3 linked regions of the Nothobranchius furzeri genome follow. The protein of the gene in region 3 purifies or fractionates together with the protein of the main gene of each other region. This does not show direct contact. Links are inferred from orthologs where the notes say so. Each region holds a gene or a part of one and is shown on either strand. Other genes may lie near its edges.

The links. The genes of interacting proteins can lie anywhere in the genome.
Region 1: the proteins of arcn1b (region 3) and copz1 fractionate together in Homo sapiens (co-fractionation; 5 studies listed by BioGRID and IntAct, with this or other methods). This does not show direct contact. The link is inferred for Nothobranchius furzeri from reciprocal best matches to the Homo sapiens genes ARCN1 and COPZ1.
Region 2: the proteins of arcn1b (region 3) and cope purify together in Homo sapiens (affinity purification with mass spectrometry; 4 studies listed by BioGRID and IntAct, with this or other methods). This does not show direct contact. The link is inferred for Nothobranchius furzeri from reciprocal best matches to the Homo sapiens genes ARCN1 and COPE.

The regions. Positions count from the first base shown.
Region 1 is NC_091755.1:25,753,766-25,759,842, reverse strand, and holds copz1 (coatomer subunit zeta-1), read left to right. Parts: upstream 1-2,055; 5' UTR 2,056-2,168; coding exon 2,169-2,186; intron 2,187-2,601; coding exon 2,602-2,670; intron 2,671-4,106; coding exon 4,107-4,188; intron 4,189-4,267; coding exon 4,268-4,359; intron 4,360-4,485; coding exon 4,486-4,541; intron 4,542-4,636; coding exon 4,637-4,714; intron 4,715-4,791; coding exon 4,792-4,843; intron 4,844-4,940; coding exon 4,941-4,979; intron 4,980-5,719; coding exon 5,720-5,767; 3' UTR 5,768-6,062; downstream 6,063-6,077. UniProt on the Homo sapiens protein: The coatomer is a cytosolic protein complex that binds to dilysine motifs and reversibly associates with Golgi non-clathrin-coated vesicles, which further mediate biosynthetic protein transport from the ER, via the Golgi up to the trans Golgi network.
Region 2 is NC_091748.1:57,727,232-57,733,396, forward strand, and holds the start of cope (coatomer subunit epsilon), read left to right. Parts: upstream 1-2,143; 5' UTR 2,144-2,200; coding exon 2,201-2,302; intron 2,303-2,464; coding exon 2,465-2,527; intron 2,528-2,633; coding exon 2,634-2,734; intron 2,735-2,888; coding exon 2,889-3,041; intron 3,042-3,877; coding exon 3,878-3,931; intron 3,932-4,136; coding exon 4,137-4,218; intron 4,219-4,508; coding exon 4,509-4,664; intron 4,665-5,352; coding exon 5,353-5,421; intron 5,422-6,165. UniProt on the Homo sapiens protein: The coatomer is a cytosolic protein complex that binds to dilysine motifs and reversibly associates with Golgi non-clathrin-coated vesicles, which further mediate biosynthetic protein transport from the ER, via the Golgi up to the trans Golgi network.
Region 3 is NC_091753.1:20,846,290-20,851,893, forward strand, and holds part of arcn1b (archain 1b), read left to right. Parts: intron 1-3,266; coding exon 3,267-3,446; intron 3,447-3,571; coding exon 3,572-3,777; intron 3,778-3,860; coding exon 3,861-4,022; intron 4,023-5,254; coding exon 5,255-5,420; intron 5,421-5,604. UniProt on the Homo sapiens protein: Component of the coatomer, a cytosolic protein complex that binds to dilysine motifs and reversibly associates with Golgi non-clathrin-coated vesicles, which further mediate biosynthetic protein transport from the ER, via the Golgi up to the trans Golgi network.

The sequences.
Region 1 (6,077 bases), on a different chromosome or scaffold from region 3:
ACCTGAACATGCAGCATCATTCTAATGAATGTCTCAATAAGACGCAGGGTTATCTCAAGATGTTCTGATCTTGATAACATTTTGCAACAGTAGGTTGCATCGCTGGATTATTTTTCATTTATTTTTTGAATTTTCTGTAACCCCAAATTATTAAAATTACATTAGACAAACAGAAAAATACACTGTCATATGACAATTTATTATCTAGTTGTGTGCTAATGTTTTGTGTCAGTGTGTGTGTATGCATTTGTGCATGTGCCTCATGTATGTTCATAGCATGCGAAGGCTGGTTGGTAATGCACACGCAGAGAGGGAAGGCAGGGAAAGGAGGATGTTGGCTGGCGGAAGCTCTGCTTGATGCTGATAAAAGGAGCTCTTGGTTCTGAGAAAGGGAACTGCTAACTGCTGTGGTTGCTGCCAGAAGCTCATTGTACAGCTTCACAACCCCTCATCCTCTCCACCAGCCACAGTTATACTGTCTGAAATCATCTCAAACTCATATATATGTTTGAAAAATGACGTGACATCTGGGAACCAACTTCAGGGCGGCTTCCTCCTCGGTTTGGGGATTTTGAAATAGCTGTGATATTGTGCAACATTTCATGATTTTACAGTTCTGTTACAAATGTGTACAAACTAAGTTTGGATCTTCTAATTCCTCTCTACAAGCCAAGAGATCTCTTTCCATGATTATTTTGGAACTCAAGAGTAACAGAAGGTAACTGTAAGGCCACACAATGATGTAATTTGTGGATTGAGATAGAGGGAAATCCCCATCAGACTGCTTTTCCAAAAGTTTCCCAGAAGTGGGAAGTAAGATAATTGGAGGTGGTTAAATGTGGGAGGATCCTGTAAAAAAAGATGCTGATGAGAACGAGAAACATAAAACGGGTTGTAAATGGAGAGATTGCTCGTATGATGTTTTTCAATGCAGCAACCGCTGTGTGACACAGAGCTTCAGCTAATGAGTGGAGGAACCTTTAATTTTAAAGACAAAAGTTTTAGTTAGATATTGTTCTAATGATGCTTGAAAGGGTTCCTATGGACATCAAAAAGAAGGATTAGGTTCTAATTTTCTGGTTTAACAAAAGCAAGGAAATAAGATCATGATGTTAGAAAAACATATTTAGCTTTTTACGTTACAGAAATCAAGTTTGTGAAAACTTGATGAAAGAAAAAAGTTCAGTCTGAAATGCTAAACTTATAACTTTGTTGCAAAGCTACAGAATTGCATTTAATTTTTTAAACACTATCCTCCATTTACAAAAAGCAACAAAGTCAACAATGTTAAAGGTGAAACAATTTTAGTAAGCTTGTTAAACGGTGCTTATTGAGTGACAGTAAAATAAAATGCAGATTTGGATTTACGTTTATCATTTTGTGTCACATCATTGCAAAGTAAATGTTATGAAAGATTTTAAGACTTTAAAGTGACTTTCTTTTATTTTCCGTTATGTGACTTTTCAGCTTTTCGATTTATGGAGAAGAGGACAGCTATGGTTGCACCCTTTTCTGTAAAACCACATCCTTTTTTATATTGTTCATCAAAACATTAAACACGTTGCTCTTTAGTCTGCATTAGATGCATTGATGTACTCGAAGTTGCTACTAAATTGGGTACTATTATTTTGAATTAAAATGTTTTTATTTTTGATTGATAGTTTGATTGTAATAATCCAACACTGTATTCACAAATGCAGATTTTTATTTATGATTATTACAAAATGTACTAACTGGAATAATAACATAAGTGCATTTACAAAGTCCCTGAAACTGGTCAAGAATTAGTCAGTCATTTCTTTTGTCCACAGTTTGAAATATTTAATCTAAAATATTCAAATGTTCAATTTAAACACAAAGGCTATTCAGATTTGTTTTATGTTTTTATAACATTTATTTTTGTGCTTATTTTTCCCCAAATTTTTTTAACATTGAAGTTTATAATTTTATAAATTTTTGTTGTTCAAACTCCGTTCAATCTGTGCAGTTTTCAGGTAAAAAAAAAATTCACACATGATGAAGACTGTTTTGTCTATAAAGTTGTTAATAAAGTTTGTTTAAAAAAAGTCAACAGTGACGTAATCCTTGCTCTTACGCACGACGTAAGATGCTGGAATTGATTGTAGGCTAGTGTTAGCCGTGTAGCTGGTTTGCCAACAAGAAAGAAAATGGACTCGCCTATCCTGGTAATATCTAATTTATTTTTTCATGACGGCATAATGTTAGTGAAGCGTTTAACCTCGTAGTGTAAACATTTTTTTAAATTGTCTTCATAATTTAGGCGAAATGCTGCTTATTTAGCATCCTCCCGAGTTAACTTGACAGAGAGCTAACTACAGTGTTAGCTAACTAGTTAGCGTCGAGGAAGTATGTGTCCGTTTGTTGCTGATGTGGAAGTGTCATGTCCTCCACCTGACATGAACAAGAATACCGTCATGACAACATTTTTACAACCGTTTTTGATACATGTCTTAAGACTAAACGATCCTATTATGGCCTAATCACGGCCATTTTTCTTAAACTATCCTTCTTACTACAAACCTTAATTTCTAGTCCTTTATGTTTGTTTAAACACAACGCACTGTACTGCTGTCTTCACAGGAACCCTCTTTGTATACGGTCAAAGCTGTTCTGATTCTGGACAATGACGGAGACAGGCTTTATGCCAAGGTATGACTTTAATCCTGATTCATCTTTTTTACTTTAAATATTTTCTTCAAACACGCAAAGTCTGATTTAATGTCAATATTACAGCTTTTCACTTGGATTAGATCCCCCCAAAAGCAATAAGTTAATTATTCAACACACCTGATACATTTTCATAAATTTTTCATGACCTATTTAATAATAATAGATTTGAGCTGTACACAAACAGTTTTTAGATGTATTTGAAGGTGGTGATTGCAAAGCACTAAAAAAAAACACAGGAGTCTTTTGTGTAATTAGATAGAGAAATTTAATTAGACAAATTACAGGCGTTATTCCTTGGTCTGTTGGTCTGTTTAAAATTTAAGGTGTTCCTGATTTATATGGTTAACTATTTTAATTTTAATTTAATGTATTCATTTTTAAAATGTATCTTATTTACTTTTTATTGCTAAAAATGGTCAAAGCTGATGGCTCCTACCCCCACACCTTAAAGTTTTGTTTAAAAACAAGTTTATTTTTACTGACTCAGTATAATTCACATTATTCAATCCTTGTAATTTTATATCATAATTTTAAATATTGTTAATCATAGAAGCAAAGTTTTAAATGTAAAACTATGTTACTAGGTTTTAAATATGTTTGCTTCCGTAGTAGAAACCGTTTGGCTAACCCCGGCTTTCCACGGGAGCCGTCAGCAGCACGTTACTGCAGCAGCACGTCATAGCTGCTGATAGGAACCGCTGTGGTCAACAGAACCTTTTCCACCGGAGCCGCCGGCAGCCGTCAGCAGCGCGAGTCGGCCGCGTCTCAGGAGCAGCATGTCGCGGCCTTTACGCGCCGGTTCTATTTTCTACGCGCGACGCCTCTGAAACGGGTCAAGTTCGACATTTTTGGGGAAGGAAAGACAGGAAATCGAACGCGGAAATGGGGAGAAGCTCTCGAGATTTTCAGAATAAAGAACGTACTGCCTTCCGGTTGCTTTACTTTTAAAAACAGTTACTAACTGTGCGTCCCCGTGAGAAGTTATCACACAGCTAGTGGTCTCCTTTGTTTTTCAGGTCCGTATTGGCGATTATAAAACGGACAGAACATAAAACACAAACCATGTTGTAGTTTTCTCCTGCTTGTTGTTGTGTTTACTGACGAAGTCACTCGTGTGACTTCGTGCTCGGTCGGTGACAGCTGCTCCCCTGCTGCTTCGCGTCTCGTGGGAAGGGCCAAGCAGCAGCTTACGCGAGCAAGACGTGCTGCTGCAGTAACGTGCTGCTGACGGCTCCCGTGGAAACCCGGGGTTAGTGTCACAGAATCGATAGGGAAGTCAGACCTTTTAGAAACTTAATGTTTCCTATTTTAATGAAGAATATTTTACGTACCACATTATTTATATACTTTAATGTAAAATAATAGATTTATTTGAATTGTTTTAAAATGTACTTTTCTTCTTGGTGTGTCTGCAGTATTATGACGACACATATCCGACGGTGAAGGAGCAAAAGGCGTTTGAGAAGAACATATTCAACAAAACACACAGAACAGACAGTAAGCTAAGCATATTAAAGGTAATTGGTTTGCTTCAGTACATGACTAAAATGTGATGGTATTATTTGTTTGTTTGTAGGTGAGATTGCATTACTGGAAGGCCTAACTGTTGTCTACAAGAGCAATATAGATCTCTTCTTTTATGTCATCGGAAGTTCACATGAAAATGAGGTAAAACTGAAAGAACTTTCATGAAAAGTCAGCCTTTTCTTAATTATAGCAGATAAAACAGTCACATTTTAACTGCTAATATTTTCACATAATTACTATTTGTTGAAATTTGTTCTTTTTCAATAGCTTATGCTCATGGCTGTTCTAAACTGCCTATTTGATTCCCTCAGTCAGATGTTGAGGTATGTCTTGGTAGCAGTTTAGCACAAAATGTCAAATGTTTATAAACCATTAATCTCTCAGATTGGGATTGAGTTATTTCTCTTTAATTTTACAGAAAAAATGTTGAGAGGAGAGCTCTGTTGGAGAATATGGAGGGACTCTTCTTGGCTGTGGATGAAATAGTGGATGGGGGGTGAGTTTGAACCACCAATGATCTTTAACTAAAAACTTTTTCTTTATACTTACTGTGGTGTTTTGGGTTACTTACAGCGTGGTCCTGGAGAGCGACCCGCAGCAGGTTGTGCATCGCGTGGCTCTTCGAGTGAGTATTTCTCATCACAAATGTTCAACACGGTGTGAAAGTGTTGATGTGTGTGTGTGCGCACGCTGTAAACCTGTTGTAATACTTGTTCTTGTAGGGTGATGATGTACCACTGACAGAGCAGACAGTCACCCAGGTAAGAAAAAACCTCTACACTGATTCTGTCTTTATAATAAAGTTTAAAAGATCCATTAGTTTATTGATTGTTAAGTCTTTACCTCAGAGTGTAAAAGCTGTTATTGCATCATTCTCCTGTTTTTACTTTCTCACTCGCCTTCAGGTTGTCAAATAGTGTGTGTGAGTGTGTGATAACTAATTATTTGGTGGATAGCCAGTAGTGGTCCTTGTCTTTTCATTTTCACTCAGGCCCATCTCTCTCTCCCGGAGTGTGTGTGAGAGAGAGCGAGTGTGAGCTCCTCTTGATTAATGTTGTCATTTAAGAGGTCTGAAACTGCCCATCGCCATTTCTCCTATGGCCATGATTAATATCTGTGTCCAGTCTCTGTTTTATGGTTATGATTTGGCTTTCACTCAATCAATTAGAATGATTAATTAGACCTAGACTATTTATCTTCAATTATATCACTATGGTCATTTTTAAAAGCATTTTAGCAACTATTTGTAACTTTTTTGATGCTTACCTTATAACTTCATGTTCCTTTTTTTTTTTTAAACGTTGAGCATGTCGAACATCTTCTAATTTATTTCACACTATTATAGAAATGTACAGACTTATTTAAAGCAAAACAAAGATGTAGGATGACTCTAAACTTCTGCACAATCTTTTATTCTCATTAGGATTTATCTCATGCGGCAGCCATGATTTTATCATAAACAATTAAACCTTTTCTGAGCTGGAATTTTTCTTTTTCACAGGTGCTTCAATCTGCCAAAGAACAGATCAAATGGTCACTTCTTCGGTAGTCATCCTTGTACCAGCCCACCAGAGCTCACATGACACTGATTCTCCTCCTTTAACGTCCACCTGAGTCAAAGCTTTGAGGAGTATTAATGGCTGATCCAATCACAGTTCAGGACTGCTACATTCTTCAACTCAGTCGTTCGTTGAATGATTAAAATGAGGATAAAACATGTACATTCCATTCATGTTCTGATTTTTCATTGAAGAAACTGTTTTTCTTAAAGCAGATGATCTACATCAACAAGTCCTTTTGTCATTCCAATAATCTCACATAATAAAAATGATCATTTGATCCTATTGTCTTCTCCAGAT
Region 2 (6,165 bases), on a different chromosome or scaffold from region 3:
GATTATTAGGCGTTTAAAGCAAAGGGGATGATAATTAGTTTCTTTTTAATGGAGGGTTTTCTGAACACCCACCATAAGGAAAGCACATCTAACCTATAAAGTTGGTGTGGAACGTTTTCTGTTTAGGCAATTTAGACAATAAACATAATCTTGTTGCATAGTTTAGCTTTTATTGAATCTGACTCAGTTTCTCATGACAATCACTCAAAAATGTTTAAATGAATAAATGAAATGTTGCATTACTTTATTAAGTGCATTGCTTTACGTTCCACACTATTACAGAACAGTTCAATTGGGATATCAAACGTTGAAGGGATGGGATATCTTGTTCTGAGGTTTATCACCAGGTCTCATTTGAATAAGTTCGAAAATAAGTAAATATGTGGTAAACAGGGGGAATGGACCAGCTTTAAGTATAGATCACATAGTTAAAAATAATTACTCCACAGTATCTTCTTTTATTATAATTTAAATCGATCAGAACAGTCGTTTAAATGCTAATCTCGGGAAATTTAGCAGCGGGTCGTTTTTATGTGTTTGACCAATTTCCGTTAGGTGAACATGGCGTCCCTCAAATTAAGCTAGTCTCATTAACACCCACCGTTAACCTCTCGGAAACGTTGCTGCAGCAGCCTCGTACTGAATTACTCGGAGGTGGCGTGAGTTCAGCCCCCCTCCTTGACAACAAATCTTTGTTCGTTAAAGTTTGAGAAGAAGTTTAATTTAAAAAACCCGTGAACCGCTAATATCACCGGGAACATGAACTCACCTTTCTCTACGGTTCACCGAGCCACGGGAGCGATCCGCCAGCAAAAGTTGACAAATTAATCAGAGCAAAGTCACTCAAGACTTCTTCATCCTTGCCACAGAGGAAGTGGTTTTACAACATATTCACCCCACTAACGTTACTTTTGTTCGCCGAATATCCACTATACAAAAGCAGTTCTCCGCTGCTCTTTTGTTCTGCAACCAGGCGCAGAAGTGTGAATTATTAAGAGTGTTTTCGTCTCGCGGACACTCTGAGATCGGTTACAAGTTTTCTGTTGGCGTAACCAGACTCCCCCCGCCTACTTGGTCAGAAAAAAAGTTTCAAACTTGATGTCGTTCTGAACCAATGAAAGAGCAACGAGAGGAGCAGAACAGCCCAAACACGCCCAAAGTAAAAGGCTCTTTAGGTCCAGCACACCCACTGCCCCCGTTGGGGTTTCCAGTAATTATTCTCGTCCAGGTCCGAATCCCACGGATGAAGATTTCCCTGAGGAAATGATGCTAAGGGAACAATGAACAGGAACCGTGGGGAGCAGTTTCTAAATCACCAGCAAACATGTGGCCCGTTCATTTTTGTGACATTTTTTTGGCACTTTTACTTATATTTGTAAATATCTGACAAAATAGAGCATTTAATGAGAGCATGCCTATTAACTATTACTCCTGGCTAAAACAAAAAGGAAAGTACATATCTCCGGGTGTTTTCAAGGCATGGGAAGTTTTTTAACAGCAGTTTAATGAGGCTGGCGGAAATTCCCTATGTCATATCCTTATTTTATTGTTCACACATCACTTTTTTTAGATCTGATAAATGGGCCAGATCATTAAATCATCAGCTCCAAAATTGAAACACAAGTATCTATCTATCTATCTATCTATCTATCTATCTATCTATCTATCTATCTATCTATCTATCTATCTATCTATCTATCTATCTATCTATCTATCTATCTATCTATCTATCTATCTATCTATCATCTATATCTATCTATCTATCTTGAAGCGCCCTCTTGTGGTTAAACGCGATAAGTCAAAATGGCTTCGTTCAGCTTTTTTTTTTTGCAGTGTTTGAACTTGATTCCTTTGAATTAATAACAATTAATAACACACTAATTAGAAATATAGGACGACAAAAATATTTACTTAAAATATATTTTAAAGTTAATTTTAACATAATTTGTGCCCAGTATAACTCTGCAATACAAGTATAAAATAATTTAAACATTATCCATGAATAGATAACGCCTAGTTTAAACATTATACATGAATAGATAACGCGCCGAGTCCACATTAAGAGGGGACAAATATTTTCTTCATGTCATTTTCGGTTCTTAGTTATTTTTGTTTTCTGAACAGCATTTCCCAGAATCCTTTGTAAAAAAGCAGGAAGCCTACGTAGCTTTGCGACGTGTCCGGAAGCTCATTAGCCAACATGGCGGCGCAACAGGGTGATGTTGATGAACTGTTCGATGTGAAAAATGCTTATTATATCGGTAGTTACCAGCAATGTATTAACGAAGCTCAGAAAGTGAAGGTAAGTGACGCATTTCCATTTATTTAAACGCTCGTTTTGTCGCGTTATTTATCTGTCAGTGTGGTTAACAGAGCAATTGAGCTAATGGGCTAACAACAACGACTACTCTTAATATTCTTGTTACTGATTTTGGTACTTACGTCTTGTGTTTGGTTTTTAAAGCCTTCGTCACCAGAGAAGGACATCGAAAGGGACATGTTTTTGTACAGAGCCTACATTGCTCAGGTACGTGTTGGTGGGGGATCAGCCTGATCTGAAGAGGCAGTGGACGTTATTGCTGACAGACAAAAATTCACCCTCTCACCGGAGGTTTTGTATTTCTTTGTTACAGAGGAAGTATGCTGTTGTTCTGGATGACATCAAGGCCAGCTCTCCACCTGAGCTGCAAGCTGTGAGGATGTTTGCAGAGTATTTGTCCAATGAAAGCAAAAGGTACAAGCATGCTTACACAATGCTCATTCATTTTGCCCCTAGCAACACAAACTATTTATATTAGTTAACCTCACCCTTTTGTGTAAAAATTGCTGTTCCAGTTGATTTACAAATTCATCTCTTGAGTATATTTTTACTTATTATGTTTGTTCAGGGATGTTATTGTTGCTGATTTGGACAAAAAGATGTCAAAGAGTGTGGATGCTGCCAACACCACCTTCCTGCTCATGGCGGCCTCCATCTACCACCATGAGACCAACTCTGATGCTGCTCTCAGAACGCTTCATCAAGGAGAAAGTCTGGAGTGGTAAGGGGGAATCCAGATTTATGTTTAAAGAGCAAGCCACGCCAAATCACCATTTTTTTTTTTGCTGATAAACTATATAAATGAGTGATTGGGCTGTAGACAAATGTAGTCAATAATTCGGCACTTTAGTGCATCTTAGTTCAAATTTAAATATTCTGCTTAAACCTGTCAGTGATGCACCATCGTCAGCTAAAAACTCGCACTACATTTTAATTTAAATCTGCCATCTCTATGGATAAGAGGTACACTATGATGTTAGATGGTAGATTATGATGTCACAATGTCGTGAGTGTGTATTTGTTAGTGGCTCCGCCCTCTTGTTCTGCTAGGCAACAGCATTTGTTGCATTTTTCAAACAGGAAGAGTGAGTTGAGTAAGAATCTGATGGGGGGTGACTTGCTCTTTAAGTCTGAATAGGATGATGCTTAGGATTCAAGGTTATTTCATTTTAACATATTACTCCAAAACTATGGAGCATATTTATGTGCTCTATTTAAATATAGAGAATATAAATATTCATTTATATAAATATTGAGAATATTAATAGAATAGCGTCTTTAAAATCATAGTTTATTCTAGGAAATTCTCTTGGAGTTTAATCTTACATTGTTAGAAAAATAGGTTAAAAGTAAACATTTATAAAGCTGCTTCATGGATTTGTGTTAAACGATAAAGAAGTGCAATTAAAAATGTATGCTTACAAATTTAGCATTCTGATTAATATAATTAAAAATACAAGAGTTGTTCTTTTTATTTTGTGAACTTTTAAATGTGTGGTTGGATTGTTTTATGGTTAAAAATATCAAACTGAGCATAATTCTGTGTTTATTTGTCAGTATGGCCATGACCATTCAGGTGCTTCTCAGTCTGGATCGTGTTGACCTGGCGAGGTATGGAGTAACTGTTTCACACCCTCAAAAATGTGTTTTCACGTACACACTAAAGATTGTTTACTAGTTGTATATGAGCTTTGATTATGGCTAACAGAGAATCTGCACATTATGACTCAAATTGTTTAATTTCTACATGACCTAATGGTCAAAATTAGCTTTTGGCTGTTTAATGAGGTATTTTGCTGCTAATTATTTATTACAGGAAAGAGCTGAAGAAGATGCAGGAGCAAGACGAGGATGCAACTCTAACCCAGCTAGCCACAGCCTGGGTTAATATTGCTGTGGTAAGAAATAAATATGAATTGTGTATGATTCATAAGTGAATGATCAACCACAAACTATTTGCTGTTCTATTAACTCTTGATGAAGCAAGAATTATTATTAGAGTGATACCACAAAATGTCAGCATTAATATATTGTGATTGTTATTTAGTTGGAACAAAACAAATTCATGCCTCCTCATCCAGTAAAGTCAGACGTAACAGGGTTCTTTACCACTAATATCATCTGAAAACCACAAGCTTCAGATGAAAATAAATAAACCCGTGTTGCTTTTGTGATTGCCTTGTTCCAGGGTGGAGAGAAGCTGCAGGATGCTTACTACATTTTCCAAGAGATGTGTGACAAGTACTCGTCTACTCTGTTGCTGCTTAATGGCCAGGCAGCCTGTTACATGGCGCAGAATAAGTGGGAGGAGGCTGAAGGAGTGTTGCAGGAGGCTCTTGATAAGGTTAGAGGACAGCAGTTCTGTCTCATCCTATCTGATGAGAGGAACTGGTTTATTGAATATTAACTGAATGTCTGTCAGTGTACCAGCAGATGGCAGCACATACTTTAGTGTTCAATAAAGCTCTTATTCACCTGCAAAGAATCAGTTATTTCACAGCAAAAAACTCATTTCCAAATGTTCGATTAATATAATAAATAAATCTTTAGTTTGGTTGTAAATATACGTTTTTTCATCTCAGTATTTATAAATGTGCTTTAATGTAAACTCTACAGCTTTGCAGTGTCTTGTGTTGGTCAGTGTTGATAAGTTTAATTTTTACAAAGCATCAGTTATTCATTGATATTCTCTCACTGTACAGGCAGAACAGGGTGTCGTGTAACTTTCAGCTCTGACTTTTCGATAAATAAATGATCCAAGGGTTAACTGCCTCCATAAAGAGAGGTTATTGTCCGCTTGTATAATCTCATTTTCACGTTTGTTTGAGAGGCAGAAATTTGGATTAGACAGGATCAGAGATTCATTCAACATCTTGTATAGATGAGAGGGGGAAATTGGTCATTTTCATTCAGATTTACCCTCAGAAAACACATTTAGGATCATTTTATCTCATCTTGTCTAGATTACACAAACTTAATGAAAATAAGCCTCCAGCTCTGCTCACATTGTATCTGTTTTTCCTCCCTATCAGGACAGCAGCCACCCTGAAACGCTGATCAACCTCATAGTGCTGACCCAGCATCTGAGTAAAGCTCCTGAGGTGAGACTTTGGACTCAGAAACCTTAAAAGCCCTTTCTTTTTAAAATGCATCAGTCGAACAAACTTCACCTGAAGTACATCAAACTTGTTTCCCCCGTGACCTTTGAAGCTTAAATGAAACATACACATTCATTCAACTATAGTAATCTGTTTTTGAATGGTTTTTAATCATCCCTTTGACACACATGCTAGTTTAGTGGTGTGAGTTACACAACCTGAGACTCAGAGTTCAGCAGATAAAGGCCTGATAATCAGACTCGCATTTGATGAACTAGATAGCAGCGTAACAGAATGCTGAGCAAAAACACGAAGACATCAATAAAAAGTCTCACTTGAGATTACCCACACCACCACGTCTCGCTGCAGGTTAACTGGTGAAATTAGGCTATTTCTTTGTGAGATTGATGGAGTTCTCGGAAATATAAAGAAAATGCTTTTATGTCATAAGCATAAAGATTTGTTTTGTTTTTATTGTACATGAATGCATTTGTGACACGAAACCTCACAAGTACAAACGTTCGACACATTTGTGCTAAGTTCTGCTGCATTTTGCAGTGTTTCGTGTTTTTCTTCCTAAACATTAAATATTTATGTCTCCTGAGTAATTCAGCAACAGCTATGTGTTTGACTACAGATTATTTGTAGTTGTATCATATATGGATGACGGCAAACAAAAACACTATTTTCATCAGTCGTTGAGTCAGAACCTTAAAACCACTCAGAAAAACACAAACGGGCACAGAA
Region 3 (5,604 bases):
GACACTTTTAGACTAACTGGTTAATGAATCCTTTCCCTTTTGGTTAACCAAACTAAAATATTTACTTTTTATGAACACATCTTTCTTGGCTTTAGAGATCTGAGCTTAGCCCTTAACATCACACATTTAACATCAAATCCAAAGTTTAGAAACATATCTCATCTTATTTTATACTCCAGGCTCCATTAACCCAAGCATGGACCATGCTATAGCTAGCATTAGCCTCCCTGTAGCATGATAATACACCAGAAAATGCTCGTCATCGTTTTTATGTTGTTGCTGTTTATTCTCTTTATAAGGATAGGTGATTACTTTTATCAGGTTATGTATCACATGACACACTCTGGGTGTGGTGTAGCTAGTATATTGTGTGTTTACACAGGTTCCTTCACTCTTTAGCTTCTACTCTACAAAATGAGACTATCTGAGAGCTTTGACCCCGGCTACAGCTGCGTGAGTCTTACTAACGCCTAGAAAACCAGGCCACACGCTCTTTAGAGCACATTTTGGCTTTCAAAATGATTTGAAGCATTCAAACTTAACGGATAAACTAACTTAAAAATCAAAATGTTTCAGTAAAATATTATAATAGTAAGCCAAAGCAAATAAAAAGGCACTAAATATTTGTTTCTGTCACATTTTGCTGGTGTGGAGACCTAAATAACACGAAGTCAGCAGCTATGTTGGGGTTTGGTTTTAAGGCCCGCTGTGTTACTATGGTAACAGAGTCCTAGCTCACCTGCTCCAGGTGAAACGTTCAGAATTAGGGTTTGTATAAACTCCATCGCTTTGTTTTTGAATGTCTGACTCCTAATTGCTTCGACAGTATTTATGCCATATTTCTACCAGATCCTGTAAGCTTTTAAATAAATCGGACAATCAAATTGCAAATAATTCCACGATCGTCCTTAACCGTCTGGGGTCCATGGACGCGTATCCGCGTCTTTTGAACAGGTCTGATTTGGGACGCTGTAGCAGCAAGACTCCGCCTCCCTGAGTTTTGGTTTCAATTCAGCTTTAAAAAGGAGATTATAAACTACACCCCAGATTTTAAACTTTGTTAATAGGCAATGTAAAAGCGGAGTTGTGGGCTCGACACACGGGAGGCGATCCGCGGCAGCGTGCATGTCTCATTGAACATGAATGGAGGAGAGGCGATGTCGCCTCCCGTGTGTCGAGCCCATTAGACTAAACTAAAAAAACGACCTATTTTTAGACAATCTGACAACTTGTCAAAACAGCAGAGGGAGAGGGAATGTGCTTGTGAACACAAAAACATGAGATCCTTTTGCTGTTGGTGGAAGTCTCACATATTCAGTTGATAAAAAGCATCATTATGTAGCTGAGAGAGAGAGGAAGGCCGCACGAGTAACGAGATGTGCGCACAAAGGAGCCGCTTCGCGGGGAAAGTATAGTGGCGCGAACGGAGTAACGACAAACAATTAGACAGATATTGACGGTAAACTTGGTATTTTGGAGCGATCCGGACAGATCTATTGTCTCTGCAGTTTAGTCAGCTTTTATTAGGCTTTAATAAAGGATGATGAGAAGGATAAATGTCCACCAGGCAGTTCAGATAGTACGGCTGTTTTTTGAACTGGAAGAAGAGGAAGTGGACGGACACTCACAGCCAGAGTCTGAGGCAAATAGCGAGGATGTTGATGAGGATGTGGCAGATCCATCCTTCCTCATAGAAGAGTTGGGTCATGATGAGGTGGAGGATGAAGGCAGAGATGCAGCTCCTCGGAGATCCAACAAGAAGAGTGGACGGCGCAGCTGACAGAGCCACTCTTCTCTCTCCAAAATGCATGTACATTATTGCCAAATTAATAAAATGAGTATAAATTCAGATAGTCCAGGTTGTCCTGAAAATAATGATACCCCATAAGGCAATATTTATTGTTTTTATTAGAAAATACAAAGGAAAACCAAAATGAGTCAAAAATGGTGATTTACACCCTGGACCCCAGAGGGCTAAGAATTGTTTTTTGTTATTTGATATATGTATTCATATGTTTTATAAATGTACAGTCTAGATTACCATTCTAAATTATAAAAAAAACATTCGTCATAAATGTTTGTTGGTTTCACAGTAAAATAAACAACTTTTTTCCTATTCAGATTTTATGTTTTTGAGTGATTTAAGGTCTAATATGCAACCCCTTTATGTCCAAATATAAAAAATAAGTATAAATTCATAAAGTCCAGGTTGTGCTGAAAAGACTGATACCACATAAGGCAGTGGTTATGGCTTTTATTTTGGAAATACAAAGGAAAACTCTAAATTAGTCAAAAACGGCAAATTACGCCCTGGACCCCAGAGGGTTAAAGGCCTTTAGGAAAAGTTTTGATCACACAACCTAACCACGATGCTTTTACTCGGGCACAAACCGTAACTGTAATAGTTTAAAGCAGGGGTCCCCACTCCTGGTCCTGGAGGGCCGCTATCCTGCATGTTTTAGTTTGAACTCTGCCAGTTCAACACACCTGATTTCAATCAGCAGCTAATTAACAGGCTTCTGCAGAGCCTGATGAGCTGCTGCACAGGGGTTTCAACCACTGAGGCCTAGTTCACACGTAGCCGTTTAAAAAAAAAAATGAATATCCGCCCCTCCAAAAACTTGCATCCACACCACCTCGTTTACAAAACAAAACTCTGTCCACACGTACCCGGATAAATACGTTGTTAAGGACATGCCAGACCTGTAGGCGGCAGTACTTCCCCCGTTCTTAACCTCGTCCTTCGTCTGTGGTCTTCCGCAAGGAGCAGTAATTCCGCTTGCAAAAACAAACAAGCAGAAAGCGCTTGGACAATTGATAAAGCGAGCGCAGCTCTGAGGGCATCCATGCTGTCGACTAGTGTAAACACAGGTCGCACACGTGATGTCAGCAGTTTTTTGTCGCGGAAAGTGACGTTGCGGGCCTTAAAACTCCGGTTTTGTCTGTCCACACGCAGACACCCAAAACGGAGAAAACGCAGATCTTCACTTTGGCCGGAGTTTTTAAAAAGATCCGTTTTCGTGTGAAAAAACTCCGTTTTCGTGTGGATGACAGGCCAAAACGTAGAAAAATATCTACGTTTTGGCAGATCCCCGGCTACGTGTGGACAGGGCCTGAATCAAGCCTGTTGGAGCTGAAAACCCACTAAACCTGCTGGATACCGGCCCTCCAGGACCAGGATTGGGGCCCCCTGGTTTAGTGTCATTCTGAAGTGTCTTTGTAAAAGTGTTTACCGTTTCCTTCACCCGTTTGCTCGGCTCTTCCAGATCCCAGAATACTGTCGCGTGCTGGAGGAGAGTGAAATTTCGGAGCACTGTTTCGACCTGATCTTTGCCTTTGATGAGATCGTGGCGCTCGGCTACAGAGAGAACGTGAACTTGGCTCAGATTCGCACCTTCACAGAGATGGATTCCCACGAGGAGAAGGTTTTCCGTGCTGTCAGAGAGGTGAGGTCACACAGACATGTTGAATTGTATTTAGTTGAATTAGAGAGGCGGAGAGTCCAGGGTGAGTGTGATTTGAGTTAGAATTGGGAAAGAAGACAGGACTAACTGTGCTGGACCGTCCTCAGACCCAGGAACGGGAAGCCAAGGCAGAGATGAGGAGGAAGGCCAAGGAGCTGCAGCAGGCCAGGAGAGATGCTGAGCGTTCTGGGAAGAAGGTGCCAGCGTTTGGAGGCTTTGGCAGTGCAGGAATGAGCAGCATGTCCTCGGGCTCCGTCATCACAGAAACCATCGTCGAGCCTGAAAAACCCAAGATCACACCAACTCCAGTCCGGTATCGGGCTTCCGCTGACTTCTTTCACAGCATCTGCTCTTTCTTCTGGTTTCTTTGTGTCATTATTGTTTTAATCCATCCAGATCAAGTGGACCAAGCAGAGCTCTGAAACTGGGCGCTAAAGGGAAAGAGGTGGACAACTTTGTTGACCAGCTGAAGTCTGAAGGTGAAACCATCATTCCTTCAACAGGGAAGAGAGGCTCAGATGTGTCTAAGGCTCTGCCAGCACCTGTCAATGTGGAGAGGTATGCACTCATCATGGCTAGGGATGGGTATACCTTTGACATTTGAATCGATTCGGTACTAATTCCCGGTACCTACGAATCGATACCGGTACTTAATGGTACCAATTTTCGATACTTTTCAGTGTTTATTATTTTAATTCTCTTTTATAATTAAATATATATTTTTCCCAATTTATAACCATATTTGATAAATATCACGATAAATAACATACAACTGTTTGTATTTTAACATCGTCCTTGTAGTTTTATAAGCTGATAATTGAACTGAGGCAAACATCTTTACTGTGAACTAAATTTACTGTGTATCTTCATTCCCTTTGCCGTCTTTTTTTCATTTGATTTTTCCTACTGGGAAGTTAGAATTTCCGAGGAGAAAGCGAACGCACCATTAGATGATAACGATAGTGGCATAGGAAGCTAACATATCAAGCTAACGTTATCTTAAACAGTTTAACTGCTGGAGCAGATTAAAACGATGATGCCTCACACTTAGATCGTTGTCACTGGTTTCATCTTCACCCAATCACCCGTCGCATTTAGTAAAGTGAAGCCAAACTTTAGAGCGTGTTCATGTTCTTCTAGTCGGAATTTCGGAGTTCCGAGGAGAAAGCGAACGCACCATTAGTGAAACGGAAGCTAACAAATCAAGCTAACGGTATCTTAAACATTTTATTTACCTACCAGAGCAGATTAAGATGAGGATGTCTCACTTAGATCGTTGTCGCTGGTTTCATCATCACCCAGTTAGCCATCACATTTAGTGAAGTGGACCCAAGCGTTAGCGTGCCTTCTTTCTACCATGCTGCTCTGTTTACAACTCGCTCGCAGCGACCAACGACATAACGCTCTTGCACATGCGCAGCTGTCTTAGCAAGTTCTCGTTGTGAAGGACGGGCACCGAAACGAGGCACCGTTTGAAATGACGTGAATCGGTGCTCGGTCGGTACTGTGGAATTCGATCGGTACCTTAAAAAGTACCGAATTTGGTACCCATCCTGATTTTAATGCTTTCTTTTGGGTTTTACAGCTTCTCAAAGTTTGTGGATTTTCACATATTAGCAGAAACACCAACGTTGCCCTGTAGCTGGAGATTACCACACTGAAGTTATAAAAAGAGACCCTGATCTGATGCTGGAGCTTACATCTGGATGTCCATGATATAATGTTGTTTTTATTTAAACCCGACTGCTTTGATCTTTATTTACATCTGTGTGGCTGTGTTTTCTGCTCAGCGTACACCTGCGTGTGGAGGAGAAGATCTCGCTGACCTGTGGCCGTGATGGTGGCCTGCAGAACATGGAAGTGCTTGGCATGGTGACGCTTCGGGTCACAGATGACAAAAACGGACGCATCCGCCTCATTATCAACAACAATGACAACAAAGGACTACAGCTGCAGGTAAACATAGTTTAGTGCTTGGTCCTTTAGCCTTTTGTTTGAGCTTAACTTGAGCAAATTATGGGATGGTTGTAGTGCTGACAGATTTGCTGATCACCATAGAGATTAACTAGATGCCTTAATGGAGTGGATTTGTCATTAAGGCCTAGTCCACACGTAGCCGGATAAATACGTTGTTAAGGAC